Linked DNA regions of Macaca fascicularis. The protein of the gene in region 3 purifies or fractionates together with the protein of the main gene of each other region. This does not show direct contact. Links are inferred from orthologs where the notes say so. Each region holds a gene or a part of one and is shown on either strand. Other genes may lie near its edges. The genes, in order: YAF2, E2F6, L3MBTL2, MGA, LIN54, TFDP1 and HDAC1.

Region 1 (4,085 bases), on a different chromosome or scaffold from region 3:
ACCTAGAAAGATGGACAGAAACAGCACTGTTAAAGAGGGATCTAGTTTATGCAGAAGTAACCCATGTGCATTGTCAGGAGGCAGCTTTTCTCATGGGAGAGGGATGCAGAGGTAGGGAAAATGTGTGAAGCCTTTAAATGCCAGGCTAAGGAGTGTGGGAGTCGTTAGTGGTTCTTGATCAGAGTGGTGGCATAATATTAACAGCATTTTATTATTCATCTGGTTGTGGACTACTGAATCGATTGGGGAGGTGGAAGTGGAGCTTCGGAGACCAGTTTGATGGCTGTTGCTGGAGTCTGGAGTATGAGGACCTTTATTTAGTATATTGAGGTAAAGAGACCTGGGAAGGTGTTCTTTTGTTAGCAGACAGCGTTGAGGGGACATGTAAACTCCTTATATTTAAAAAGGCCTTATGAGTATGTATTGGGTTTCTTTCAAAAGCAGCTACTGCAGAGGCCTGAGAGGCCAAAAGGGTGCCTTTGGAATTAGAGCAGAGTTAGACTCCTGGCTTTGTCATTTTCTAATTATGTAGCCCAGAGGAAGTCACCTAACCTCTCTTGAGTCTTGATTTCGATTCCTCTAAGTTAGGGGTGACAAGCCCTACTTGTTTGAGCATCTGTGTAGCGCTTTAAGGCATCTAGCAATGGCGCTGCGTGTTGGTTCCCGCCTTCCCCGTGGTGTCCTGCAGGCGGGGACTGAGTAGCTAAGGACGGCGGAGGCCAGGAAAGTCGTTCTACCTGGAGACCCCGGGCTGGCACTTCTGTCCAGACCTGGACAGGCCTCCGAATGCCAGACCTTGGACCAGGCTTCGCACGGGATGACTGAGCATCCCAAGCCAGTCGGTGGGACAGATATTTTCCTCCTCAGAGGGGCTCTGGAGCGCGCGGCAGCCCCTGGCAGCCGTGGGTACCGAGAGGGCGACAGGGCAACAGTGCGGTGAGGCGGCGCCGGCTCCCGAGGCCGAGGCGTCCACCTCCGCACCGCCCGCCGGCTAACTCGCCGCGGGTGCTGGGCCGCGCTGGCCGCGTTTGAAGTCTCCGGCGCGGCTGCTGGTTGGCGGGCGCGGGTCACGTGCGCCCAGGCAGGAGTTTCCCCGACAGCTGGAGGCTGCGTGGGATCCGGCGGCGGCTCCCGAGCGCGGCGGTGCGGCCTTCCCCGCCCCCTTCCTCCCTCCTCCCCCGCCCGCTTCCGCCCGGCTTATTATCCTCCTTATTGACAAACAGTGCGGCCGCGGCGGCGACTCTCAGCGTGCGTTGATAGCCAAGCCATGGGAGACAAGAAGAGCCCCACCAGGTAACAGCGCCCGGGCCCCGGGGCCCGGACTGTGCGGGCGGCAGGGCCCTGGTGCAGGGCTTCGGGTGGCTGCCTCGCTCGCCGCCCGGGCACCGGGGCGAGCACGGGGGCGGCGCCGCTGGTGTGCGAGTGCTGCCGCGTGAGGGGGCCGGCGCCGGCCGCCCCACAATGGAGCCGCGATGGCGGCGGCTACCGGAGCGGCAGCCCGGGTGTCAGAGCGGCTGTGGCGGCGGCGAGTGCGGCCGGGCTCGCGCCCTGCCTCTTCCTGACTTCCTTCCCCCTTGGAGCCGGAGCGCGGCGCGCCGAGGGCCCGCCGGGGGCCCGCCGGGCGGGGGTCGCGGAATTGGGGCGGGGGGCGGGGCGGGGGCGGCCGCAGGGCCCGGGCGCCGGGCGCGGCCTGCTGGTGACCCCGCGCCGCGTCGTGTCCGGGTTGTGTCCTGCAGGCCGAAGCGGCAGCCGAAGCCGTCCTCGGATGAGGGTTACTGGGACTGTAGCGTCTGCACCTTCCGGAACAGCGCCGAGGCCTTCAAGTGCATGATGTGCGATGTGCGGAAGGGCACCTCCACCCGGTGAGTCCCAGGCCTGCCCCGCGCGCCTCCGTCTGGCGGGGTGACGACCAGGGGACGCCCCTGCGGCTGCCGCCCCGTCCCATGACATTCGCGGACCCGGCGGGAGGAGGCGAGACGGAGGTGGCTGTGGCGATAGGAACTGGGTCACATTGATCGCAACCCAGGCGATGGTTTGCGGTGAGGGGTAATTGAAGAGGCTGTAAGGTTTTTTGCTGCCAAGAGAGAATAAATTATTTATGGGAGGCATTAGCTACTGCGATTTAATTCGTATCGCCGTGTGTAATGTCCCTCTCCCCACTCTGGGTATAAAAATGTTGGCTGCATTGTTGTGTTAGTGTGTAGGGATCAAGGAAAACCCATAAAATCCTCTTTAGGAGCAAAGGATGTAATTTAATTTCGTTCCTAAAAAAAGAAAACTATCTGATTGCAGAATACACAATATATTAAACTTCTTTTCTATATGGACTTCTGGAAGGGTCAGATCAAGGTTTTATTTAGTGTTTTTATTCCAGTTCTCTAATATTTTATAAATAAGTAGTTGGAGATGAGCCCAGTCACAGGAACAGATTTTTACTGAAAGTACCTGCATATCTTTAGTTTGATTAAATGGCAGTCTCTTAGACAAATGAGATGAAAAGATCTCTGCCCATTTTCAGACTTTATTTATTGTAAGCTTGCAGTATAATAACTCTGTTTTTTAAAAAACGACTTTGAATTAAGTGGATAAAGAAAATCATCCAGGAAATTCAGTCTGGCATTCTTAATCTGTCAGCACTTAGTTATCGAGCTCCTTGATTTTTATAGGAAGGTACCCTTTGAATTAAATATAATCCTGTGATTTATTACTTAATATGTAGAGAAGATATATATTTTGATGTTACAAAGTTCATTAGAGACTAAACTATAACAATAAGCATACTAATCTATCTTACTGTTGCTTTAAAAAAGGCATATATGATATTGACATATGCAAATATTCAGTAGACGTTAGATTTCTAAAAAATGTGATCTTGATTTTTTTTTAAAACACTACAGAATTTTATTAAGTTTGAAATGTAGAGACAGGAATGGTTGACAGTAACTTATTTGAAAATTTTCTCAGTGAAGCTCGCTGGCTTTGACATGCTTATTTTTTGTAAATATTATATGCTTTTTGTATATTCCCACAATGGATAAAATATTTTGTACATTTTTCATATTCAAAAAGAAAATTTTCAAACATATTCTAAATTTAAGGGATTACAGCAGAACATTCCAAAAAGAAAAAAGTATATACTAAAATGATTGTGGTTACTAATTTTGGACCCATTTATTCTCATTTACAGTGGATAAAATATTTTGAACATTTTTTATGCTCAGAAAGCCAACTTTTAGACATGCTAAATTTAAGGGATTACAACAGAACATTCCAAAAAGAAAAAAAGTATTTGCTAAAATGATTGTGGTTACTATTTTTGGACCCGTGTTTTGTGATTTAAGTATTTTGAAAAGCAGAGTATCTTAATGGCTGTGTAAGGTTGGAGTTGGTTTAGAGTGTATTTGTATATCCGTGTTAGTACTTTGTGCTTTTTAAAATGCTTAGTAAACAATATTTAGAAAATTCGTTTTTTGGAGGCAGGAACATTAAAGTGGAGACAATTATTATAATCTTGATCTCTGGTACTATATATTATTGCTTTTTGTTGTTCCCTCTCTATTTTCTTGTAGCCATTAGAAAAATACTGAAACTAGAAGAGCCTATATGTTTATTTGCAGGGACAGCAAGGAAGGGGGGAAGCTGGTGTCCTACTCCACAGCCAGTCTTGGGATTAGAGGAACCCTGAGAAATAGAGTAGGTGGTGGCAGCTCAGAAGAGAAGAAACAGGCTGAATACCTGGCACCTGGAAGAAGAAGGAATATAGTACACAGGGGAGTTGGCCCAGGACAGAGAAGTGGGCCTAGTTTAAAAGAGGCTTGAGGCCCACCTGGGGGCCCCTGACTTTTTTTTTGTTTTTAACCGGTACATCCGAGCTCTTGTAGATCCAATTTTTAGTGGTGGAAACATTACTTGAGGAGGACTCAGAGAAGCATTGTCATTTGGATTGAAACTGAAGAGGCTCTGGGCAACTCACCAGAAATCTAAGGGACACTGTGTTCCTGAAAGTAAGTGTTCTACACTACGACCCTCTCAGCTTCTTCCTTCCTCTCTCTGAATTGTCTCTTCTCTTTTGATTTTGGCTCTAA
Region 2 (4,145 bases), on a different chromosome or scaffold from region 3:
TGAATTATGACCATGCCACTGCCCTCCAGCCTGGGTAATGGGGAAAAAAAAAAGATTAGAGACCTCTGACATCATAGTCTAGTGGGGAGCCAGCTTCTTCAGGGATTTCTCCCTGCCTCACCTCGCCCACCTCAGGCTGTGTAGAAACCCCCAGTCTAACCGGTTGTTTCCCTCCAACTCTGTACACACCACGGTGTGTTACCTTTTTGTTTCAAACATGTGCTGGCCTCTGTTCTAATCACAGCAACCTGTATCCATTAATCCATTTAATCCTCACAACAACCTTATCAGGTAAGTATTGTCATTATTCGCATTTTCCAAATAAGGAAACTGAGGCACAGGCAGATTAAGTAACTGGCTTAATAAGGTCTTCTGGTTTATAAGTAGGAGCCAGGATTTGAAAACACACCTCTGGCTCCAGCTTAATTAACATGCTCTGTTTACTTATCTGTCCCCACTGAAATTGGAGGTTGAACCTGTGGCATATCCAAATGAGTAAGTATCGCCTGTGCTCACCCCAATATCTGACACTATAGGTCCACGATAACTCATTCATCAAACAGGAAGGAGGGAGGAAGGAAGGAAGGAAGGAAGGCAGGAAGGAAGGAAGGCAGGAAGGAAGGAAAGAAGGCAGGCAGGCAGAAGTAAAACGATACCACAATGGTTTGGTTGCTCACATTTACTAAGCATCAACACTGACCCGCCTGTAAGATGTGCTAACAGAGCTCAGGAATAAATGAAGGCCGGGCGTGGTAGCTCATGCCTATAATCCCAGCACTTGGGAGGCCAAGGTGGGAGGATGGCTTGAGCCCCAGAGTTCAAGACCAGTCGGTGCAATATACTGAGACTCTGCCTCTACTAAAATTAAAATTAAAAATTAGCCGGGCGCAGTGGCGCGCGCCTGTAGTCCCAGCTACTTGGGAGGCTGAGGTGGGAGGATCGCTTGAGCCTAAGAATTCGAGGCTGCAGTGAGCCCTGACCACGCCACTGCACTCCAGCCTGGGCGACAAAAAAAAAAAAAATTAAAATTAAAAAAAGGAATAAATGAACATCTTTGCGGCTGAGAGCTTTCAGTTATCACCGTCGAGAATTCCAGGCGAGCGCTGCGTTTTCCCAGCTGCCTGTTTTCTCTCACCCCCGTTCCCTTCCTCTGGAATCCGGCTCCACCTCTTCCTTTTCCTTTGCCAGCCTCTCCGTGGATTCCGCGGTCCGGGTTTCCCGGGCGCCAGCCGCCGGGAGAGGATCGGTGCGTGGGAGCGCTCCGGCCGCGGCGGGCATGCGCAGAGGGGGGCGGTACACTGCGCATGCGGAAAAATGGCGGGCCGGGCTACTTGAGAGCCGCGGGTCTACCTCCTCCTTTCCCGTCTTCGTCGGGAGTTCCCGGGCACGTGAGGCAGTGCCGCGTTTGCTGGCGGGTGGGACGGCCTAGCCGGGCGGGGCCTTGGAGGACGCCGCGGATCCGTCAGTTTCTGGGCCCTTGGAAATCGGCGCGTGGGGGGCGGTGATCGAGCTGCGCGCGAGAGGGCGGGAGAGCTCGCGGGGTGCGAGGGGAGCGGGACGCCCGGCCGGGCAGCATGAGTCAGCAGCGGCCGGCGAGGAAGTTGCCCAGTCTCCTCCTGGACCCCGCGGAGGAGACGGTTCGCCGTCGGTGCCGAGACCCCATCAACGTGGAGGGACTGCTGGTAAGCTCCGGGACGGGAGGGGGACGGGCGGGGGTCTCCCAAAGCTGGCCCCCTCCTCCCCGCGCCGCCGCCAACCCCGCTGGCCGTCGTCTCGGTCGTCTGCTCCCCCTGGGCCAGGCGCTGCCCATCACGTGCTGCGAAACTGCGCTCTCCCGCCTTCTGCTTTCAGCATCTGTTCACAGACGTGGTGTCAGTCTTCTGGACTTTTACATCGGAACTTCAGGGCACTGTTGGAGAAAATTGCTCAACTTTGCATTGGAAAGGCCATGTTTTTCTCCTTCAGTGGACTCTAGCTGTATCTCTGCAACCTATCATTTGTTCTTCTACCTTCTCTCTCTTCTGCTCTACTGCAGCCGTTTAAAACCTTGTCCACGCTTTATATTTACCACGCCACAGCTCCCATTCATAAAATTATCTCCCCACCTGTTTGACGGAGAAAATGGTTAGGAGATTTGGCTCCCTTTCCCACAAAGACTGATTTCTTCTACTCTTGTTCTGGACCAGATACTGTATTCCCCGGTTCTCAAGGTCCTTAACAAATGCGTTCTTTTCCATTCCTCCCGTATTTTCTTTTTCTTTTTTTGAGATGGAGTTTTTACTCTTGTTCCCCAGGCTGGAGTGCAATGGCACGATCTCAGCTCACTGCAACCGCCGCCTCCCAGGTTCAAGCGATTCTTCTGCTTCAGCCTCCCATGTAGCTGGGATCACAGTCATGCGCCACCACACCCAGCTAATTTTGTATTTATAGTAGAGACGGGATTTCACCGTGTTGGCCAAGCTGGTCTCGAACTCCTGACGACCTCAGGTGATCCACCCGCCTCGGCCTCCCAAAGTGATGGGATTACAAGGCGTGAGCCACCGAGCCCGGCCTCTCCCCATATTTTCAATTTCTCTGCTGCTTTCTTCCTATAACTAGTAGTAATTAAACATTTTCCCAAGTCATTATGCCTGGTCCCCATACCAAATAGTTTGTGATTATTGTCTCATTTAATTTCTCACAGCAGTGTTTTATAATAGTAAAAGACTATTATTCTTGTTTTACGGTTGCCAAAACAGACCTGGAGATGCATGTAATGCCGGCTTGCCTGTGGCTAGATAGTAAGTGGAGAAACTTGGGTTGAACCTCCAAATGTCTAACTCCAGATGATAAATTCTTGACTACTAAAACCACATTCTCAATCCATCCCCATCTTAAAAGATCCCTCCCTTAATTCCATATCCCTTGCCATCTACTGTCTCTCTTCCCCTTCACAGCTAAACTTCTTGAAAAAGTTATTTACACTCACTCTTTCCACTTGATCGTCTCATTATCAGCCAACCCACTGCTGGGGACCCCTATCCTCAGCACACTTGTGAGACCATTCTAACCAGGGTCACCGACAATCTCGTCAATTCCAGCAGCTGTTGTAGTTTTGACACAAAACTACTTGTGTTGGAAACTCTCCCTTGAGTTTCCTTGACATTGATGTTCCATCTGCTTCTCTGGGCTCTCCTTGTCCTCATCCTCTTCCCAGTCCTTCATTTTTTTTTCCCCCGAGACAGGATCTCACTCTGTCACCCTGGCTGGAGTGCAGTGGCACATCCTGGCTCACTGCAGCCTTGACCTCCCAGGCTCAAGTGATTCTTCTGCCTCCACCTCTCTAGTAGCTGGGACCACAGGCACATGCCACAAGGCCTGGCTAATTTTTTTATTTTTAGATATGGAAGTCTTCCTGCGTGGCCCAGGCTGGTCTTGAACTCCTGGGCTCAAGCTGTCCTCTCACCTCAGTTTCCCAAAGTGCTGGGATTACAGGTGTGAGCCACCGTGGCTGGCCACATGTTGATGATATTCAGGGTTCTCTTCTGCTGTCTCTACACATTCTTCTTAGGGGAGTTCATTCTCTCCTCCCATGACTTATGTTACCGTCTACATTTGATCCTTGAACGACTCAGGGTTTGGGGCACCAAATCACATGAAATTCAAAATCTGAATATAACTTTGATTCCCCCAAAACTTTACTGTTTCCTGGAAGCCTTACTGATACTGTAAACAGTTGATTAACACATATTTTGTATTTACATGTATTAGTTAGTGTATTCTTATAATAAAGTAGCTAAAGAAAACGTTATTAAGAAAATCATAAATAAGAGAAAGTCCTACTCATTCAGGGGAATTAGATGATCGTAAAGGTCTTCATCCTTGTCTTCACACTGAGTAGGCTGATGAAGAGGAGTAAGAGGAGGAGTTGGTTTTGCTCTCTAAGTTGTGGCAGGGGGTAAAGAAAATTGGCATCTAAGTGGACCCACACAGTTCAAACCTGTGTTGTTTGAGGATCAGCTGTATATTGGTACCATCTGTATTGGTCGTCTTAATATTTGAGAATTTGATAAAAACTCTAAGCTCACTGTGGAAAAACCACTTAGTTTGCATGCAATATCAGCAGATACATCGCTTGAAATCTTAGACATACATTTCTGGTATTT
Region 3 (3,595 bases):
GAGCCACCGCGCCTGGCTGGAAACCCCAATTTATAAAGTTTGTTCCAGGGCCGGGTGTCGTGGCTCACACCTCTAATCCCAGCACTTTGGGAGGCGGAGGCAGGAGGATTGTTTGAGCTCAGGAGTTCGAGACCAGCCTGGGCAACGTAGTGAGACACTGTCTCTACAAAAAATGAAAAAAATTTAAAAAGTAAAATTCATTCCAGGGATGGTCAGGTTATAGGGAATTAACTCTCAGCACCATGCCATAATGCTTTCCTAACTAGGAGCATGAATTTGATTGACTAGGACTGTTGTGGACAACAGGAACACACGTGCCTGGAAGTATAGGTGCCGGAAGTCCAGCTTAGGCTAGAGACAAGAGACGGCTTAACAACATACCTTCCCCAGGCCGGGCGCGGTGGCTCACGCTTGTAATCCCAGCACTTTGGGAGGCTAAGGAGGGCAGATCACAAGGTCAGGAGATCGAGACCATCCTGGCTAACACGATGAAACCCCGTCTCTACTAAAAATACAAAAAAAATTAGCCAGGCGTGGTGGCGAGCACCTGTAGTCCCAGCTACTCAGGAGGCGGTGCTTGCAGTGAGCTGAGATGGCGCCACTACAATCCAGCCTGGGCAACAGAGCAAGACTCCGTCTCAAAATAATAAAAAAAACACAGCATACCTTCCCCAGCTCACCCTCCCTCACAGGTGCCCTTTCCTTTCTTTTCAGGGTATCGGGTGCTGCTTCGGTACGAAGGCTTTGAAAATGATGCCAGCCATGACTTCTGGTGCAACCTGGGAACTGTGGATGTCCACCCCATTGGCTGGTGTGCCATCAACAGCAAGATCCTCGTGCCCCCACGGAGTGAGTTGATGAGAACATTCCCTCTCTTGTTCGTGCAGGGCCCCTGGTAGAGGGAGAGTCCTCTGCTTGTGTTAGGTAGAATGGGAGTCCTCTGTCTTGTTAGAACAGAAGCCACTTGCCCCCTGGCTTCCTGCCCTCCCCGTCTCAGAGGCCCAGGAGCCAATCCATGTGTGGAATCTGAGGTTCTCGGATGAAGTCCTTGCTGGCCTCGAGAGGCAGCTATTTTCCTCCCCACTGCTGAGGGGCCCCCACTCGGGGTCGGTGCTAGCGTCCCTGTCGGTGGAGGTGTCGTCAGTCTGTAACCAGGATTCTGCTGGTGCCTCCACAGCCATCCATGCCAAGTTCACCGACTGGAAGGGCTACCTCATGAAACGGCTGGTGGGCTCCAGGACGCTTCCCGTGGATTTCCACATCAAGGTCGGCAGTGAGCCCTTAACTGATGTCCCTTCTTCTGCTCTTCCATTTTTCTCCATCCTCCATGCTACTCACTGGAGCATGTTATCTGAGACTCTCTTGCCTGATGATCTTCAGCAGCTCCACATTTTGCAAGGCTGGAGACAAATGCTGCTGCTACATGGTTGCCATCTGCCTTTCTAGCCTGGTGTCAGCCACCACCCCACCCAGACTCTGCTCCTACCGCACCAGTCATGCTGCTTTGTCTGCCTTTTGCTCTTCCAGAACCTTACCTTTGCTCATAGAATTTTTCGGAAGTGTTCACTCAATAGATTTTATTACATATTTTTTTTTTTTTTTTTTTTTTTGAGACGGAGTCTCGCTCTGTCGCCCAGGCTGGAGTGCAGTGGCGCAATCTCGGCTCATGGCAACCTCTGCCTCCCGGGTTCACGCCATTCTCCTGCCTCAGCCTCCCGAGTAGCTGGGACTACAGGCGCTCACCACCATGCCTGGCTAATTTTTTTGTATTTTTAGTAGAGATGGGGTTTCACCATGTTAGCCAGGATGGTTTCAATCTCCTGACCTCGTGATCTGCCTGCCTTGGCCTCCCAAAGTGCTGGGATTACAGGCATGAGCCACTGTGCCCAGCCTTTTTTTTCTTTTTAAGACAGAGTCTCGCTCTGTTGCCCAGGCTGGAGTGCAGTGGCACAATCTTGGCTCACTGCAACCTCTGCTTCCTGGGCTCAAGCAATTCTTCTGCCTCAGCCTCCCAAGTAGCTGGGATTACAGGTGCACGTGCACCATCATACGTGGCTAATTTTTGTATTTTTAGTAGAGATGGGGTTTCACCGTATTGCCCAGGCTTGTCTCGAACTCCTGACCTCAAGTGATCCACCCACCCCGGCCTCCCAGAGTGCTGGGATTGTAGGCGTGAGCCACCGTGCCCAGCCTTACATACTTGTTTACAAGGCAATGTGGGAATACAAAGAATACAGACCCTGCCATCCAGAAATCTTTAGTCTGGCAGAAGAAACGAAAGCCATGCACACGAGTAATTGTAATACAGCCTCGGTTCTAAGCCAGGGGTGTGCCTGGCACAGTACAGGCTAAGGCCTGGCCTGGGGCCCCTCTGGGCTGTCGGATTCTGTCTGGTTTAGGACTCCTGTGTGGCACAGAATCATCTGTTTGGCATTTAATTTTAAGAAATGATTTAGGCCGGGCGCGGTGGCTCAAGCCTGTAATCCCAGCACTTTGGGAGGCCGAGACGGGCGGATCGCGAGGTCAGGAGATCGAGACCATCCTGGCTAACACGGTGAAACCCCGTCTCTACTGAAAAATACGAAAAACTAGCCGGGCGAGGTGGCGGGCGCCTGTAGTCCCAGCTACTCGGGAGGCTGAGGCAGGAGAATGGCGTGAACCCGGGAGGCGGAGCTTGCAGTGAGCTGAGATCCAGTCACTGCACTCCAGCCTGGGCGGCAGAGCGAGACTCCGTCTTAAAAAAAAAAAAAAAAAAAAGAAATGATTTAGTAAAAATTAAGTCACGTGTACATGGTAAAAGTGACTCATACCTGTCTCAGTGTCTCAGCACTTTGGGAGGCCAAGGCGAGAGGATTACTTGAGGCCAGAAGTCCGAAACCAGCTTAGGCAACACCGTGAGACTTTGTCTCTTAAAAAAAAATTAGTTGGGCTGGGCACAGTGACTCACTCTGTAATCCCAGCACTTTGGGAGGCCAAGGTCGGCAGATCACCTGAGGGCAGGAGTTCCAGACTAGCCTGGCCAACATGGCAAAACCCCGACTGTACTAGAAATGCAAAAATTAGCTGGGTGTGGTGGCACACACCAGTAATCCCAGCTAACTCAGGAGGCTGAGGTGGGAGAATTGCTTGCACCCGGGAGGCCGAAGTTGCAGTGAGCCGAGATTGTGCCCACTGCACTTCAGCCTGGGCCACAGAGCGAGGAGACTCCATTTCAAAACAAAAACAAAAACAAAAATGGCGTAGGATTGTGGGCTGCACTGTGTTGGCTGTAGAGGAAGAGAACGTGGCAGGGAAGGCAGCCCAGAGGGGCCCTGAGCCAGGCCTTACCCTGCGTTGTCTCTCACTCTCCTGAGTGAGCCTCTGGGATACCAGACGTGGGACAGGCAATTGGTGTCAGGGCGTATCCCAAGCCCTTGAGCTGGGCCAGAGGGTCTGTCTGGTTTAGGACCCCTGTGGCAGCTTTGCCTATTGGCTGCTTTGTGACCTCTGAGACCTTTCCTTCTGGGTGTGTTTGGAAGTAGCGCTGCTTAGTCTAGGCTCCGCCGCTTCCTGACCCAGCCGTGCCCTGGGGCTGGAAAAGCCTTACACCCTACCT
Region 4 (3,595 bases), on a different chromosome or scaffold from region 3:
TTCTTCTGGTCATCGGGTCCGTCTTACAGAAGGTCAGGGGTCAGAGATACAACCAGGTGATTTGGATCCTTTGTCGAGGGGTCATGAAACATCAGGCAAGGGTTTGGAGAAGACTTCCCTTAATATAAAACGAGACTTTCTTGGTTTCATGGATACTGATTCAGCACTTAGTGAAGTTCCTCAATTGAAGCAAGAGATTTCTGAATGGTAAGTAGTAGTTTTTCTGTTCTTAGAAATAAAAGGAAGATTGAGATGGGCCAGGTGTTGGATTTAACATCTTGGTTCTGTGGAATGCTACACATGTTGATAAAGTAAGTCACTATAAAATGTACTACAACTGCTTTTACAGTCTGTGAAATGACAGATAATTTTTCTGTAATGAGAATCAGTTGGGTTCAGGATCTAGAATTGTAGGCAAATTGGATAACTTATCTGAATTATTCGTATGTATTTAGAATGTTCCTTGACATCCTTGGGGGATTGGTTCCAGGACCACCCGAGGATACCAACACCTTACTACATTTGAGACTCCGTCTCAAGAAAAAAAGAAAATCATACCAATTGTGACAACATAGATGTGCCTAGAGAATACTGTGCTAAGTGAAATAAGCAAAACAAAAAAGACAAATACTGCAAAATATTCATAAAGGTAGAAAGTAGAATGGTGGATGCCGGGGGTAGAGAAAGACTGAAAGATGTTGGTCAAAGGGTACAAGGCTTCAGTTATGCCAGGTAAATTTTAAAGAAACAGTAAACATGCTATTTTAACTAGTAATAATTTTCAGCTGCTTCTTTGGGCAATTTATGGATTAGGATATCCCTCAGGCAGTAAATTCACAAGTATTAGGTACAAATAATGACTGTAAATGCATTTTGTGCCTTGTGTAGATAAGTTTTGTTTCCATTATGATATGGGGTTTTCTTCCCTTCTTCAATTATAGTAGGCCCGCCACATCTTCTGGTTCTGCATCCACAGATAAAACTGGCCAACTAAGGTACTTGAGTATCCTCAGATTTTGGTATCTGGGGAGGGTCCTGGAACCAGTCCTCCTCAGATACAGAAAGTCGCCTGTAATCATGAGTTGTCTATACAATCAGTCTTCCATGGAGGCTGCAGCTGTGTGTTCAACCAACCACAAATCCAAAATATTTGAGATGGGCCGGGCGCGGTGGCTCAAGCCTGTAATCCCAGCACTTTGGGAGGCCGAGACGGGCGGATCACGAGGTCAGGAGATCGAGACCATCCTGGCTAACACAATGAAACCCCGTCTCCACTAAAAATACAAAAAAATTAGCCGGGCGTGGTGGCGGCGCCTGTAGTCCCAGCTACTCGGGAGGCTGAGGCAGGAGAATGGCGGGAACCTGGGAGGCGGAGCTTGCAGTGAGCCGAGATCGTGCCACTGCACTCCAGCCTGGGCGACAGAGCGAGACTCCGCCTCAAAAAAAAAAAAAAAAAAAAAATTTGAGATGGGATGGGGGGGGAGGATTTCACAAAGTTCCAAAAAGCAAAACTTGAATTTGACTATTGTGAATGATACTGTTGTTTCTTTTTGTTTGAACTTGCCTTATTTTTGTTTGTTTATTGTTTTTGAGATGGAATCTCGCTCTGTTGCTCAGGCTGGAGTGCAGTGGCGCCTTCTCGGCTCACTGTAACCTGGGGCTCCCAGGTTCAAGCGATTCTCCTGTCTCAACCTCCCGAGTAGCTGGGATTGCAGGTGTGTGCCACCATGCCTGGCTAAATTTTTTGAATTTTTTTTTTACTAGAGATGGAGTTTCACCATGTTGGCCAGGCTGGTCTCAAACTCCTGACCTCAGGTGATCCACCCGCCTTGGCCTCTCAAAGTGTTGGAATTACAGATGTGAGCCACTATGCCCGGCCTGAACTTGCCTTATTTTTATTTTTATTTATTTTTTTTTTGAGACGGAGTCTGGCTCTGTCGCTCAGGCTGGAGTGCAGTGGCATGATCTGGGCTCACTGCAAGCTCCGCCTCCCAGGTTCACGTCATTCTCCTGCCTTAACCTCCCGAGTAGCTGGGACTGCAGGCGCCTATCACCACGCCCGGCTAATTTTTTTGCATTTTTAGTAGAGATGGGGTTTCACCGTGTTAAGCCAGGATGGTCTTGATCTCCTGACCTCGTGATCTGCCCACCTTGGCCTCCCAGAGTGCTGGGATTACAGGTGTGAGCTACTGCGCCCAGCCATTATTTTGATTTTTAAACCCAAGTTCAGCAAAAGTAAAGAAATCCCTGCACACGAATTCCCTTTACTTTCCTTTTCTTGCTAAAATTGTAGGCCACTAACAGCTACTATTTTTTTAATTTGGAATCACCATGCTCATGAGTTCCCCTTGCCTTGTCTATGAGCTGGTTATTGCTTTGCTTTTTCTAAGGATTGTTGCAGCAGGAGTAAGTGCTACTCAAGCAATGCATACAGTTTTTTGTCAAAGGGGAAAGGTTCTTTCGGGTTATACTTTTTGCTGTGGTATTGTTTGTAATTGCAACTGGTGGATGCCGTCTTTAAACTTGATTCTTCAGCCACAGCTTAATCATCTTGATTAACATAATTAAAATGGATTTAAACAGTTGACCACAAATTATATTTTTACCCTTGTTATCCAGAAATAGTTGAGTGTACCGTTGGATGATGCAGAATTTATTAAAATTCCTTTGGAGGATAGGGCCTGGAGAAGTTCTTTAGGTTAAAGGGTCAGATGTATGTTGGTTTGTTTTTTGAGGCAGTGTATGGCTCTGTCACTTAGAATAGGGTGCAGTAGTGCAATCACGGCTCACTGTAGCCCTGACTTCCTGGACTTGGGTGATTCTCCTCCCTCAGCCTCCTGAGTAGCTGGAACTACAGGCATGCATCACTATGCCTGACTGATTTTTTTGTATTTTTAGTAGAGACAAGGTTTTGCCATGTTGCCCAGGCTGGCCTCAAACTTGTGAGCTGAAGTGATCTGCCAGCCTTGGCCTTTCACAGTGCTGGGATTACAGGCATGAGCTGCCATACCCGGCCAGGCTTATTTTTTTTGTTATAGAAAGCAGCTGTTGGGATTACATATGGTTGAGCTTTTGATTTTAATGAATCAGGAGAGTGGTTCAGATTTATTAACATGTAGTATCGCTGTCACTGAAGGGAGAAAAGCAACTCGAATCATGCTCCAAGAAATAACATTATCTTTATGTGTGAAAATGGTATTTAGCTCTGTGTAAACTTTTTCTCTAAATGCTTGATATGGGAGCAGAAATTATTTTTAGGCGAGAGTTGGGCAAATCTGGCCTATAGCTTATTTTAGTGTGTATACAAGAATATGTGACAGACCATAGATGCTTGTAAAGCCTAAAATATTTACTATCTGTTCCTTTACAGGAAATAATTGCCAACCTCTGATTTAAGGGTCTGAAAAATTATATACACATGCGTGTGCACGTGCACACACACACACACCCCCCACACTATTTTCCCATTTTCTATTCAGTTACTGATACATGATTGCTTTGTCATTCTGCTTTGTTTTAGCTAATGCTATTGGTAAATGCACTGATCTTTAGGCTTTATTTGCTACATTTGCTGTTGCTTGACCGTTTTCTCCTA
Region 5 (4,350 bases), on a different chromosome or scaffold from region 3:
GAACATCCACACCCCAACAAGTTACAGACTAGGATCTAAGACACAGACCTTAAATGCAGAATAAAATGCCAATGCTCTGCCTCCCTAAAGAAACATACAACCCCAAGAACTGCTGAACACCATCAAAGCAACAACCGCCAGAGTGGCTGTTTTAAAAATTGTATCAGGAAATCATGCTAAGTGCTAGCGGTTCCTCTAGGCCTCAGCAGCAGCCTTAGGTATAAGAGCAAACTGGAGCCCTCTTAACACTCAAAGAATAATGTTGATGTCATGACGAGGCTACTGATTCTTCGCACTCCGGACAAGTCATTCCTTGATCCACAGCGCAGTTCTTTCCCCACCCACCCCCATCCCCCCAAATAAAGAGATCTCCAGACAGAGAAGCCCTCGGGTACCCCCTCCTCCTCTACCTCCAGCGGCTGCCGCTTTCTCCTCCCTCGGGCTCCGAGGTGGGGGCTCCAGAAGGTCCTGGGCAATCCCGAGCCCCGGCGGGGCTTGTTTTGCCCGTGCACGATAGCTCTGGCCAACAGCTTCCTTTCCCAGTTTGTCCAAACTGGAGCGCTTCAGGGTACCCGGGGCCCGAGAAGGGAGCCGGGGTGGCGACGTCGCCGCCGCCGCCGCCTCTGGTATGTCAGGGGCCGGGATTGTATTTCGAAAGATCCGCCATTTTCACCTCGTCATCACCATCACAGCTCAGCAGCTTCCCCGACAGCCGGAGCCCGGGCCGCCGCCGCCGCCGCCACCACCAGTAACCTCCCCCTTCCTCCTCCCCTCCCCGCCCGCCCCTCCCGGGAGGCGCACACCCACATATCCGGGGAAGCCTCCCGCCGCCCCGCCAACCTTCAAACGCACAAGGGCCGTGCAAGTGCACACCGGCTACGCCGAGACCTTTCACCCCCGGGCGGAGCACGGGCCCCCGCAGGGACGCCAAAGGAAGTCGCGCCACCTGCGGGGTCCCAAGTCCGGCATATTTTTGTTTGCAAGACCAAAAGCCATGCGGAGGGTGGCATAAGGACAATAAAGAACCCAAACTCTTTTATTTTCAGAGCAGCAACTTGAGAGAGATGGTGGAATGCGTTTTATTCACTGTGGCTATCTCAGGTACCAAAAACACTGTGAAGACCCTTAATGTCATTCACCAACTTTGACATTTTACCCCACCTGCGGAACTACTTTGACAGGATGAGCTATTTCCATATGCATGTTCGACCTTTGACACCTTTGTCAATTACAGGCAGCAATCCTCATGCAGGTGAGCTGGTCAAAACACTTCATTTTAAAAAATAAAGTTCTGAGCTGTCTTCCTCTCCAACTTAATTTTATCTGGTCATTTCTGTCCATGAACACTGTGACTTCCAATCTGTCATCGGTTTAAGACGTCAAAGCGCAACTAGATTTAAAATGTATTGAACTAATTGTAGAAACATTCATGAATGATCAATTTCTAAAATATTGAAAATATAACTCTAAGCTAAAAGTATTTGCCAAATGTTTTTAGGATCTAAGTCATCAAATTAAAAAAAAAAAAAAAAAACCATCTGCTGCTGATATATTTGTTCAATACAGTGAAAATAAACAGCTTGCTTCAGAACAAGACCCTAGAGTTACCTACTAGGTAAGTAAGAGTTACCAGCTCCTGTCATCAGTCAGTTGAATAAGTAACCAAAAGAGAACAGAGGTAATTCTTAATCATTTAAAAAATAACAAAACATAAGCTGCAAGGCTTCTTCTGAGACCAACACTTTAAAAAAAAAAAAAAAAAAAAAAAGGAAACTGGCTGCCTTTGTCAATTTCAAAAAGAGTTAACCAACCAAAAACTTAATTCTTTATCATTCAACTACAATATAAGCTCTGGGCAAACTGAATTTCAAGGCTGCGAACAGGGCCACTCTACTGTCTAAGTTAGTGTAAGAAGATTAAGGTTGAAGTTGAAAAAGTCATTTCATTTCCCTACCTTGTTTCAATGGCAACTCCATATAAAAGTCGGTAGATTCAGCCTTCAACAAGGGCTGTTTACCACCCACCCCAATTGCTGTTTTTATATGCAGACTGCCAGATGCTGAGAGTGTAAAGTGTTATCAGTTACTTCATCTTTAAACTTCATTTCCCTACTGACGGCCCCGTCCATCCGCACTCTGCTTGGTTGTTTACCGTTGCTGTCCAAGCTAAGTCCCGGCCCGCTCCCTTCCCCCGTGCACCTCGGGAACATTATGACATTTGGCTGGTGGGCTTCGCGAGGAAAACGGACACGCACGAACAAGAGCCTATACAAAGGGGCATAGGAAGAACGCGGCGGCGGGCAGTAGGGAGAGGAGGGACTGGCACAAAATGACACAGCAGCAAAACCGGTTCCCAGAAACCCAGGGCAGCCACGGCCGGCTTGTTGGGTCGCGCAGTGTGCGTGTCAACAGCCGCGGGAGCCCTTCCTCCAGATCGCCAGGCAGGCGGCTGGCCGAGCGCTGGCCCTGCCGGGTGACAGCCACCCTCCCGGGAGCCGGCGGGAAGAGACGGAGCCCCGAGGATCCTCCGCCCCCCGCAGCCCAGGGAAGGGGCGCGGCTGACCCCGCTGGCGGGTTCCCGCTCCCCGCCAAGGCCCACCGGCCCGGGCTCCCGGAGGGAGCGGTCCAGCGCTCTCCGCCCGCGCAGCCACTCGCAGCGGGGGCCGGTTCCCCCTTCCCGCCCGCCCGCCCAGTAGCTCCCATCCCGGCGGCTGACACTCACCAAAGCCGGCGGCGCCGCCGCCTCCTGGTCGCGCGGCGCTCCCTGGGCTCCCAGCAGCAGCGGCGGCGGCGGCGCCTCCGAGACACAGACCAGGGTTTGTTCAAAATCACGCGCCCAGCGCCATTCCACCGCCGCATCCCATAATACGCCGGGCCCTCCCCGCCCGCGCGCCCCTCTCTGCCCGCCCCTGCGCTCAGCACCCCGCCCCACGGCCGGCTTCCTTCGCTCCGCCTCTTCCGCGGTGCCTCGCCCCTCCCCTTGGCAACCGGAGCCCGCGTTATTCCGCCCGGCTCCGCCGGGGCGCTACAGCTCCACGTGACTCCGAGTGGCGCCCGGTCAAAGCGATCGCACGGAATGTTCCATCCCACTGAAGCTGGTGGGGGGAGGACCCGCATCGCGCTGCTGTTGGGAAAGACCGTCCCTTCGTCTAGCTTTCCTTGTTAGGAAGTGTGAGCTGTAGGTGCGACTTCCAGGATATCCCGCTGTTTGATGTGCTTGAGTGAGGAGGTGATCAGTAGTCACAAATGCCAAGTCACTGTGTTTTTAGGCACTAATTTTGCAGGGGTCGCTAAAAAGCCCCAGGGAGATCATTGAGAGTTAAACTTATTTTGAAAGAGACCTTTTGTTTTTTTCTTGCAACACACAGCTAAGACTAACACAGTCAAAATTATTTGTATTTAATCACCTTTTATTTTTTCCCGCGATTTATATGATATCCAAATACGGAGTCGGATGACCAGACGCTGAGAGATCATTCTGAGGGGAAAAAGAAAAATTATTCTGAGAGATTATTAACTGCTGTGTGTGAGACAAGCACTACAGATATGAAAAAATAGAAAATACAAGAGTGTAAATGTAAGATGGTGCGGTACAGTGTATAATTTGCTAATGGAGCACGGAGGACATACAGGTCAGCATCAGAGACTACCTAGAGAACACAATGGAGGAGGTGAAACTAGTGGAGGCAGCAATCACTTTGGAATCAAGCGGTACTGGTATTTAGTGGCACCTCCGTTTATTAGTGTATAACGTTTATTTTCCTATCCAGCAAATAAAAATAACAAAACTTCCCAGAATTCTGATGATTAAATAAAATGAAGGGTGCTAAGCAGGTACACTGTCTCTGCCTAAAATGTTAGTTCCCTTGTGCCATAATCAACACCCAGTACCAGCCCAAACACTAATAGTCAGGATTTAACAAGGCAGATGTCATGAAATTAGCAAAGCCTTGAAAATGGTAAGGTCTGTGACATGTGCAAGGAAAGTGATAAAGTTGAAAGACACAAAGGCTTTGTTGGAGATCAGCATTGTGAGCCCACTTTATGAGGAACCTTGAGAGCTAGTGTGAGAAATCCTCATGGTAAAATGATTGATGGTACTGTTGGCGCACCACTGGAAGGAAGAAGAGAGTGCGATGGGGTACCCAAAACTGGCTAGATTTTAGAGAGACCAAACAAATCTCAAAAAAGGGAGACCCTTTCCCAGTTTATTCCACAAGGCAGCATAACTCTCATACTAAAACCCAAGACAAACAGTGCCCAAAAAAGAGAAGGGAAACTTCCTTTCTCACTATGATTTTGTTATGAAGGGAAAATTGATTATTTAGATGTTATTGATCTGGTGCTGTGG
Region 6 (3,417 bases), on a different chromosome or scaffold from region 3:
ATATAATAGTTAATAAAATAATTGTTTTGTTAATATTTACCATAAAAGGTATATTTATCTTTGAAGCACTAAGATCAATACCTAGGGACATCATTCTACTCTATGGGATTGCAGGTTATAGATTAAATACAAATTTATTTAAATAAAGGCCCTTTAATAGCATAGAAACTATATATATTAATACAATAAAATGTAAGCTGAAAAATGCACGGAACAAAATATGTGTGCTGTGACCGCAGATGCGTTCTGAAAAATACATGCACTGTGACCGTTCTGAAAAAGACGTGCACTGTGACTGCAGATGTGTTCTGAAAAATGGGAGAAAAAAACCTAGAAATACTTGCTGTTACTTGGGCTGCCCGGGACAGGAGGGTTTGGGTGGTTTTCGTTCCTACTTTATTTATTAGGTGATACTTTGAAAAAATCCACCACCATGTATTACTTTTAGTTTTTAGTGAGCAAAAACCAACTGAGACAAGCAGGGAAAGCCACACAGGGAAAGCCAGCAGGGCCCCACTGCCTGGACAGACAAGCCACATTGGAGCAGCCTCGGACCTGATGGCCACACGAGACGGCTGCCCTGCCTTGGCCCCTGGACCCTGGGGGAGGCCTAGACGATGCCTCTCCCACACCCTCAACCACTGTCACCTGGCAGAGAACCTTGTGCCGTTAGACGTGGAACCTGCCGTCGTGATGAACACGCCTCCAACAGTTCCCTGAGCCATTTCTGAAAAGGGAAAGAAAATAAGCGAATGGTCATGAAACAGAAACAACACAAGACGCACAGGCCACCAACAAAATGACACGCAGCGCCACAGGACAGACGGCTGGAAAAGCTTCCAGATATCCTTCACTTCTCCAGTATTTTCTGCACTGTGCCACGGAGCAGGACATCCCTGTGCAGTCACATAAGCCTGTCTTCTCTAAAAAGGCACAGAGAGCCTTGCAATAAATACCTGCACACACTGACTTACAAACGGCACACGTGTGCTTCTGCATCAGTATCACACCCATCGTGAAACAGAACAGAATGAAGTGTCGAGCTGAAACCCTCTTCCCACAGCCCATCCTGGCGGTTCCACGAAGCACAGGACAGAGGCCGGGGTCAGGGCTCAGCCCACGTGGGCGGCCGGAGCCCACTGTCACCTGACAACATGGACCAGCCAGATTTTCACAAGATCTGGAGTGGTTTAGGAGCTCAGGGAGGAATCTCTGACCCTCTCGGGGAATAAATCCACACCCCAAGTTTAGCCTGACAAGAGAAGGATCAGCAGATATGGCACTTTCACAATTTCTCACCTTAAAGCCATTCTGCTGTCAGTGGCTGGGACCCTACGGCCCCACGGAAAGAATTCACCAGAACAGAAAAAAAGTTCCTTCAACAAAAGCTCCTGTGCTCCCGGCCCTCCGGAGCAGGACGCCAATGACTCTGAAACGCTTTTTCTTGGTTACTTTGCCCTAGTGACCAATCAGCTACCATCAGTGGGTGGGATCAGCAATCCAACTGCACTTCTCAAAGAATGTCAACTTCTACTTCTGGGCCTACGTGGAGGGTAAAATCCTGACTTAGCATCTCCTCATACAAACCACACGGGAAATCCACACCAGCCACCTGCAGACTCAAGGCCCCCACATCCAGTGGGTGATGGCACTGGCTGGACCCCGCCCCAGCCACACCCCCGCCCCCATGCCCCTCATAGCCCCTTTGTCTTTGCTCCTGGCCCTACACACGTGGGCCCAATCTCAGCAAGACACATCCCAAGCTGGGAGGGGAGGGCGCCATCCGAGGCTGGGAGCCATTCCTCACACAGCCACGCCGGGTTGTCTGGGCATCGCTGACCTGTCACGTACGGCTCTAGAGCCTTGGGGACCAGACTTCTGGCCATTTTAAGGTCTTCGGCAGAGCAGCTCCCCGACTCCAGTCCACAAGCCATGCCCATCCGCTTCAGCACTTCTATGTCATCGTGGATTTCAAATGTGTTGTCAAAATTAAACAGATACTCAAATCTGAAGGGGAAAGGCACAGTCAGAAACACAGGGTCTCCCAGTGGAGCCGGTAACCGGTGGGGCCAGGACAGCTGACCCACGGACCGCCACACACAGCCTCCACATTCCCAGTCATCAGCATCTCCTCACAGAATTTACAAACTCCGCAGTAAATGAGGTGAGAGGCAAATCGAGGTCCATTCTCCCAGGACATGCCCTGAGGCACACGCTCCCGGGACACAGCCTCCCACCACCCCACAATGGACAGCAAACCCCGGCTATTTGTGCAACATTTAAAACTTGTCCTCGTGACAATCCCAAAGGGGTCAGCTCCCTCAAAAAGAGATAAGCGACCAGAGAATGGCTCCCCGCCCACAACCTACTTGTCATTGGAGATGCTGCAGTCGATGACCGTCTTCTTGCTGGTGTTGACGATGATGAAGGGCAGGTGGATGACTGAGTTGGGTGGCGGCGGCCGGCTGGCCTGCTGCTCTGCATGCCGGTTTCTCTGCACCAGGTTCTTGAAGGCAATTTGCTAAAAAAAGGAGGAGCCAGGTGGCCCGTGGCAGCACGAGAACACAGTCCCTGTGCTCGAGGGGTCCTCACAGCCCTCCCTGCGCCCAGGCAACAGTGAGAAGTTGGCCTGGACATCTGAAAAGGCCAGCACCAGCAGCTGGGTGCTGACCTCTGCAGCCCAGGGACAAAAGCGCTCAGGAAACGAGATCCTGAGGGAAGAACTAAGGGAAAGCGGGCGCATAGCCATCCGGGCCCGTGATAAAAGTGTCCTCCATGGGAACAGTGCTCACACCTCACAGTCATCTGTGCCCGTGATGAAAACGTCCACCACAGCAAGGGTGCTCAACAAAACACCAATTTTGGAAGTCGATTTCTTGCTGTCCTTCACCCCTCTGAGGCCACCCACCCCCGTGGCACCTACAGGGTGACAGCCTTGGAGGGGTGCCATGCCGTGGACTTCGCCCACCCTGGGAAGTAGAACGCGGAAGGGCCCGTGTGTTGCAGGGGTGCTCCTCTGGGGGAATGGGCCCTGCAAGGCTGAACCCAGGGCCAGGGCCTCAGGCCCCAAACCAAGTGTTCCACTTGGAGAGAACTTCTCTGCTATTATTGTAGAGCCAGGAGATTCCCTTCCTCTCCCGGCCACCCTGGGTCTATCCCCGTTAGGCAGGTACTAAGGCACTGGCAACCAGGACTGTCCCTCCTGACAGACTCTGTGGCCCTGAGCAGCTCTCGCCCACGAGTCTCCATCACCATGGCTGCCACACCATCCCCTCTGGGAGGGCTCGAGCACACCTCGGCCAGAGCAGCAGTCAGCTCTGCACTGAGCACCTTGCACACGACCCCCTCCACACCAGACACGGGGCCCCCAGGGGTGCCGCCCACCCTCAGCACTCAGTGGGAGGTGGGGAAGGCCAG
Region 7 (3,595 bases), on a different chromosome or scaffold from region 3:
CTGATCTGAAACCATGTAGATTGGTCCTGTGGTTTTTACTTAAGTCTCTAAAGTGGCTGGTGTAATGTCTCACACCTGTAATCCCAGCACTTTGAGAGGCTGAGGAGGAGGATTGCTTGAGGTCAGGAATTCAAGACCAGCCTGGGCAACGTAGTGAGACCCTCGTGTCTACAGAAAAATAAAGTAAAAACAATTAGCTGGGCATGGTGGCTTGTGCCTGTAGTCCCAGCTACTCAGGAGGCTGAGGCTTAAACCCAGTAGGTTGAGGCTGCAGTGAGTCGTGGTCACACCACTACACTCTAGCCTGGGCAACAGAGCAAGACTCTGTCTCCAAAAAAAAAAAAAAAGTTTAAAAAGTCTCTAAAATGTCCTTCTGGTTCAGTCCCAGCCCAAGTTCAATCTCTGACATGGTACTGACAGGTGTCCTTGACTGTCCTCTCCTACTAAGAGATCTTATGTACAGGAGTTCCCTGCAGACCTCCTGGGGTTGTTAAGATGCTGTATGTAAAAGCAATTTGTGAACTGCAAAGTGCTATAAAAATGGAAGTGTCATCATCTGTGAATCTGTCCTATGAAAAAGTATGGTCATTACCTTTAGAGGTCAGAAATACTCCCCACGTGTCTCCCACTTCCATTTGCAACTTTTGGGTTATCTCCAGGATGACTCCCTTTCTTAAATATTTATTTCCCTGTGATCCCCCACCAATATAATCATTGTGTCCACCCCCGCTGCCCGGCCAGTATAATCGCAGAAAACAAAGAAGTGCACAGAAAAAAACACAGTCACCCATAGTCCCAGGGTTGGTGGATAACCTCTGTCACCATGTTGGTGTTTGGCCATTCTTTGGTGTGTGTGTTTATATCTGTATAACACATATACAACATCTACATTTTACAAAAGTAGGTTATATACATATCACATATATATGGTTTTATGCCTGCATTTCCTACTTAACGAAATTGTCTGTAGTTTTCTACAGCTTGCTTTCTTGTGGCTCTATGATTATTCCATGTTGTGGATTTACTTGAGTTGATCTAATCTGTCCCTCTTCTTGATAATTTGGATCTATCTATGCTTTTATTGCTGTTAAAATCAACACTGCAGCCGGACACGGTGGCTCACGCCTGTAATCTCAATCCTTTGGGAGGCCGAGGCAGGTGGATCACCTGAGGTCAGGAGTTTGAGACCAGCCTGGCCAACATAGTGAAACCCCATCTCTACTAAAAAATACAAAAATTAGCCAGGCGTGGTGGCGCACGCCTATAATCCCAGCTACTTGGGAGGCTGAGGCAGGAGAATTGCTTGAACCTGGGAGGTGGAGGTTGCAGTGAGCCGAGATCGCGCCACTGCACTTTAGCCTGAGTGACAGAGTGAGACTCCATCTCAAAAAACAACAACAAAAAATTAACACTGCCGGCCGGGCGCGGTGGCTCAAGCCTGTAATCCCAGCACTTTGGGAGGCCGAGACGGGTGGATCATGAGGTCAGGAGATCGAGACCATCCTGGATAACATGGTGAAACCCCGTCTCTACTAAGAAATACAAAAAACTAGCCGGGCGAGGTGGCGGGCGCTGTAGTCCCAGCTACTCGGGAGGCTGAGGCCGGAGAATGGCATGAACCCGGGAGGCAGAGCTTGCAGTGAGCTGAGATCCGGCCACTGCACTCCAGCCTGGGCTACAGAGCGAGACTCCGTCTCAAAAAAAAAAAAAAAAAATTAACACTGCCACAAATGCACTTGCACACATGAGTGTGTATTTCTCTTTTACTTCTTCTGGGGCCTATTTGTGCTAATGCTTTTTTTTTTTTTTTTTTTTTTTGAGACGGAGTCTCGCTCTGTCACCCAGGCTGGAGCAAGGTGCCCGGATCTCAGCTCACTGCAAGCTCCGCCTTCCGGGTTCCCGCCATTCTCCTGCCTCAGCCTCCCGAGTAGCTGGGACTACAGGCGCCCGCCACCTCGCCCGGCTAGTTTTTTGTCTTTTTTTGGTAGAGACGGGGTTTCACCGTGTTAGCCAGGATGGTCTTGATCTCCTGACCTCGTGATCCGCCCGTCTTGGCCTCCCAAAGTGCTGGGATTACAAGCTTGAGCCACCGCGCCCGGCCGTGCTAGTGCTTTTTGACCTAGTGTATCGGCACTATCTTTGGTCATTTTTTTTTCTTCCTTTCTTTCTTTCTTTTTTTTTTTTTGAAGTAGAGTCTCCCTCTGTCACCCAGGCTGGAGTGCAGTGGCGTGATCTTGGCTCACTGCAACCTCCGCTTCCTGGGTTCAAGCGATTCTTCTGCCTCAGCCTCCCCAAGTAGCTGGGACTACAGGTGTGTACCACCACGCCCAGCTAATTTTTTTTTTGTATTTTTAGTAGAGACAGGGTTTCACCATGTTGGCCAGGCTGGTCTTGAACTCTTGACCTCAGGTGATCTGCCCACCTCGGCCTCCCAAAGTTCTGGGATTACAGGCGTGAGCCACCGCACGTAGCCTATCTTTGGTATTTTTTCAAAGTTCCTTGACCATGAGCCATAGTAAGAAATAAATTTACACATGCAATCCAGGATACATATAACACATATGCATGCATGCACACACTCACTCACTCTGAAGCCAGTTTTACAAAAGAGCAGTTACCTTTACTGTTACTCTGATATTTTTTTCTATGCTATTTCATTAAAAATATATATATACTAATAATGATGCACTAAATCAATTTTAAGGCCTGCTAATGGGTTACTACCCTCAGTTTGGAAAATAGTATTTTAAGAGTAGCCAGTGTCATGTTTATTTCCTGCTGGAGTAGGGTGGGAGGGAGGGGACTAATCTATGAATTGTACAATACAGCTGTTGAATAGGCAGGTCTTAACCTCTCACTTGGTTCCCTGGGCTTCTTGGAAGAAGGGGAGAGTGGCTTAGTAACCAGCTTATGTTCTCTCTTCCCATGCCCAGCAAGTGCTGTGAAACTTAATAAGCAGCAGACGGACATCGCTGTGAATTGGGCTGGGGGCCTGCACCATGCAAAGAAGTCTGAGGCATCTGGCTTCTGTTACGTCAATGATATCGTCTTGGCCATCCTGGAACTGCTAAAGTATGCCTGCCTGGCCTTGTCTCTTGGAAGAGCACCTTAGGCCAGGTTCCCATTTCCCTTTCCCCCTGGGCTTGCCTCCCTAGTTTGCTTTTCCTACCGATGTGCTGGCTAGGATGTGCTCGGTGAGTGTCTCTGGCCATCATCTCCTTGATGGGGTCTTGGTTTGAACTGAGCCACGGCATGATCAGGGGCAGGTGCTGCTCAGATCCTGCCTCCAGAGTGTCCCTGTGTGGCTGGAGTTGACCCTGGCTGTAGAGTAGGAAGATCGGACTTGGTCGGCTTGGTCAGGCCTCTGGAGACACCTGGCCGCTCTTCCACCTTCCTTCAGCCAGTTTCCACGTCTCTGGTGCTTAGAGATACCTGAGGGAGGCAGCCAGCCCGGTAAGCTGGGACCTGGCGCCCTTGGCGCGTCCCATCCCCAAAGAGCCCCCAGACCCCTGACCCCCTTCTGACCCTAGGTATCACCAGAGGGTGCTGTATATTGACATTGATATTCACCATGGCGACGGCGTGGAAGAGGCCT

Evidence for each region.
Region 1: the proteins of L3MBTL2 (region 3) and YAF2 purify together in Homo sapiens (affinity purification with mass spectrometry; 5 studies listed by BioGRID and IntAct, counting the BioPlex papers as one, with this or other methods). This does not show direct contact. The link is inferred for Macaca fascicularis from reciprocal best matches to the Homo sapiens genes L3MBTL2 and YAF2.
Region 2: the proteins of L3MBTL2 (region 3) and E2F6 purify together in Homo sapiens (affinity purification with mass spectrometry; 5 studies listed by BioGRID and IntAct, counting the BioPlex papers as one, with this or other methods). This does not show direct contact. The link is inferred for Macaca fascicularis from reciprocal best matches to the Homo sapiens genes L3MBTL2 and E2F6.
Region 4: the proteins of L3MBTL2 (region 3) and MGA purify together in Homo sapiens (affinity purification with mass spectrometry; 3 studies listed by BioGRID and IntAct, counting the BioPlex papers as one, with this or other methods). This does not show direct contact. The link is inferred for Macaca fascicularis from reciprocal best matches to the Homo sapiens genes L3MBTL2 and MGA.
Region 5: the proteins of L3MBTL2 (region 3) and LIN54 purify together in Homo sapiens (affinity purification with mass spectrometry; 3 studies listed by BioGRID and IntAct, counting the BioPlex papers as one, with this or other methods). This does not show direct contact. The link is inferred for Macaca fascicularis from reciprocal best matches to the Homo sapiens genes L3MBTL2 and LIN54.
Region 6: the proteins of L3MBTL2 (region 3) and TFDP1 purify together in Homo sapiens (affinity purification with mass spectrometry; 4 studies listed by BioGRID and IntAct, counting the BioPlex papers as one, with this or other methods). This does not show direct contact. The link is inferred for Macaca fascicularis from reciprocal best matches to the Homo sapiens genes L3MBTL2 and TFDP1.
Region 7: the proteins of L3MBTL2 (region 3) and HDAC1 purify together in Homo sapiens (affinity purification with mass spectrometry; 3 studies listed by BioGRID and IntAct, counting the BioPlex papers as one, with this or other methods). This does not show direct contact. The link is inferred for Macaca fascicularis from reciprocal best matches to the Homo sapiens genes L3MBTL2 and HDAC1.

Annotation. Positions count from the first base shown.
Region 1 is NC_088385.1:48,808,537-48,812,621, reverse strand, and holds the start of YAF2 (YY1-associated factor 2), read left to right. Parts: upstream 1-1,202; 5' UTR 1,203-1,267; coding exon 1,268-1,293; intron 1,294-1,736; coding exon 1,737-1,862; intron 1,863-3,617; coding exon of another isoform or gene 3,618-3,819; exon of another isoform or gene 3,820-4,009; intron 4,010-4,085. UniProt on the Homo sapiens protein: Binds to MYC and inhibits MYC-mediated transactivation. Also binds to MYCN and enhances MYCN-dependent transcriptional activation. Increases calpain 2-mediated proteolysis of YY1 in vitro.
Region 2 is NC_088387.1:110,643,060-110,647,204, forward strand, and holds the start of E2F6 (transcription factor E2F6), read left to right. Parts: upstream 1-1,295; 5' UTR 1,296-1,574; coding exon 1,575-1,682; intron 1,683-4,145. UniProt on the Homo sapiens protein: Inhibitor of E2F-dependent transcription. Binds DNA cooperatively with DP proteins through the E2 recognition site, 5'-TTTC[CG]CGC-3'. Has a preference for the 5'-TTTCCCGC-3' E2F recognition site.
Region 3 is NC_088384.1:10,392,777-10,396,371, reverse strand, and holds part of L3MBTL2 (lethal(3)malignant brain tumor-like protein 2), read left to right. Parts: intron 1-714; coding exon 715-849; intron 850-1,177; coding exon 1,178-1,266; intron 1,267-2,059; exon of another isoform or gene 2,060-3,595. UniProt on the Homo sapiens protein: Putative Polycomb group (PcG) protein. PcG proteins maintain the transcriptionally repressive state of genes, probably via a modification of chromatin, rendering it heritably changed in its expressibility.
Region 4 is NC_088381.1:18,268,755-18,272,349, forward strand, and holds part of MGA (MAX gene-associated protein), read left to right. Parts: coding exon 1-207; intron 208-3,595. UniProt on the Homo sapiens protein: Functions as a dual-specificity transcription factor, regulating the expression of both MAX-network and T-box family target genes. Functions as a repressor or an activator.
Region 5 is NC_088379.1:50,826,775-50,831,124, reverse strand, and holds the start of LIN54 (protein lin-54 homolog), read right to left. Parts: upstream 2,883-4,350; 5' UTR 2,722-2,882; intron 751-2,721; exon of another isoform or gene 411-750; intron 1-410. UniProt on the Homo sapiens protein: Component of the DREAM complex, a multiprotein complex that can both act as a transcription activator or repressor depending on the context. In G0 phase, the complex binds to more than 800 promoters and is required for repression of E2F target genes.
Region 6 is NC_088391.1:104,028,694-104,032,110, reverse strand, and holds part of TFDP1 (transcription factor Dp-1), read right to left. Parts: intron 2,522-3,417; coding exon 2,370-2,521; intron 2,008-2,369; coding exon 1,841-2,007; intron 728-1,840; coding exon 649-727; intron 1-648. UniProt on the Homo sapiens protein: Can stimulate E2F-dependent transcription.
Region 7 is NC_088375.1:202,695,180-202,698,774, reverse strand, and holds part of HDAC1 (histone deacetylase 1), read left to right. Parts: intron 1-2,933; coding exon 2,934-3,072; intron 3,073-3,530; coding exon 3,531-3,595. UniProt on the Homo sapiens protein: Histone deacetylase that catalyzes the deacetylation of lysine residues on the N-terminal part of the core histones (H2A, H2B, H3 and H4).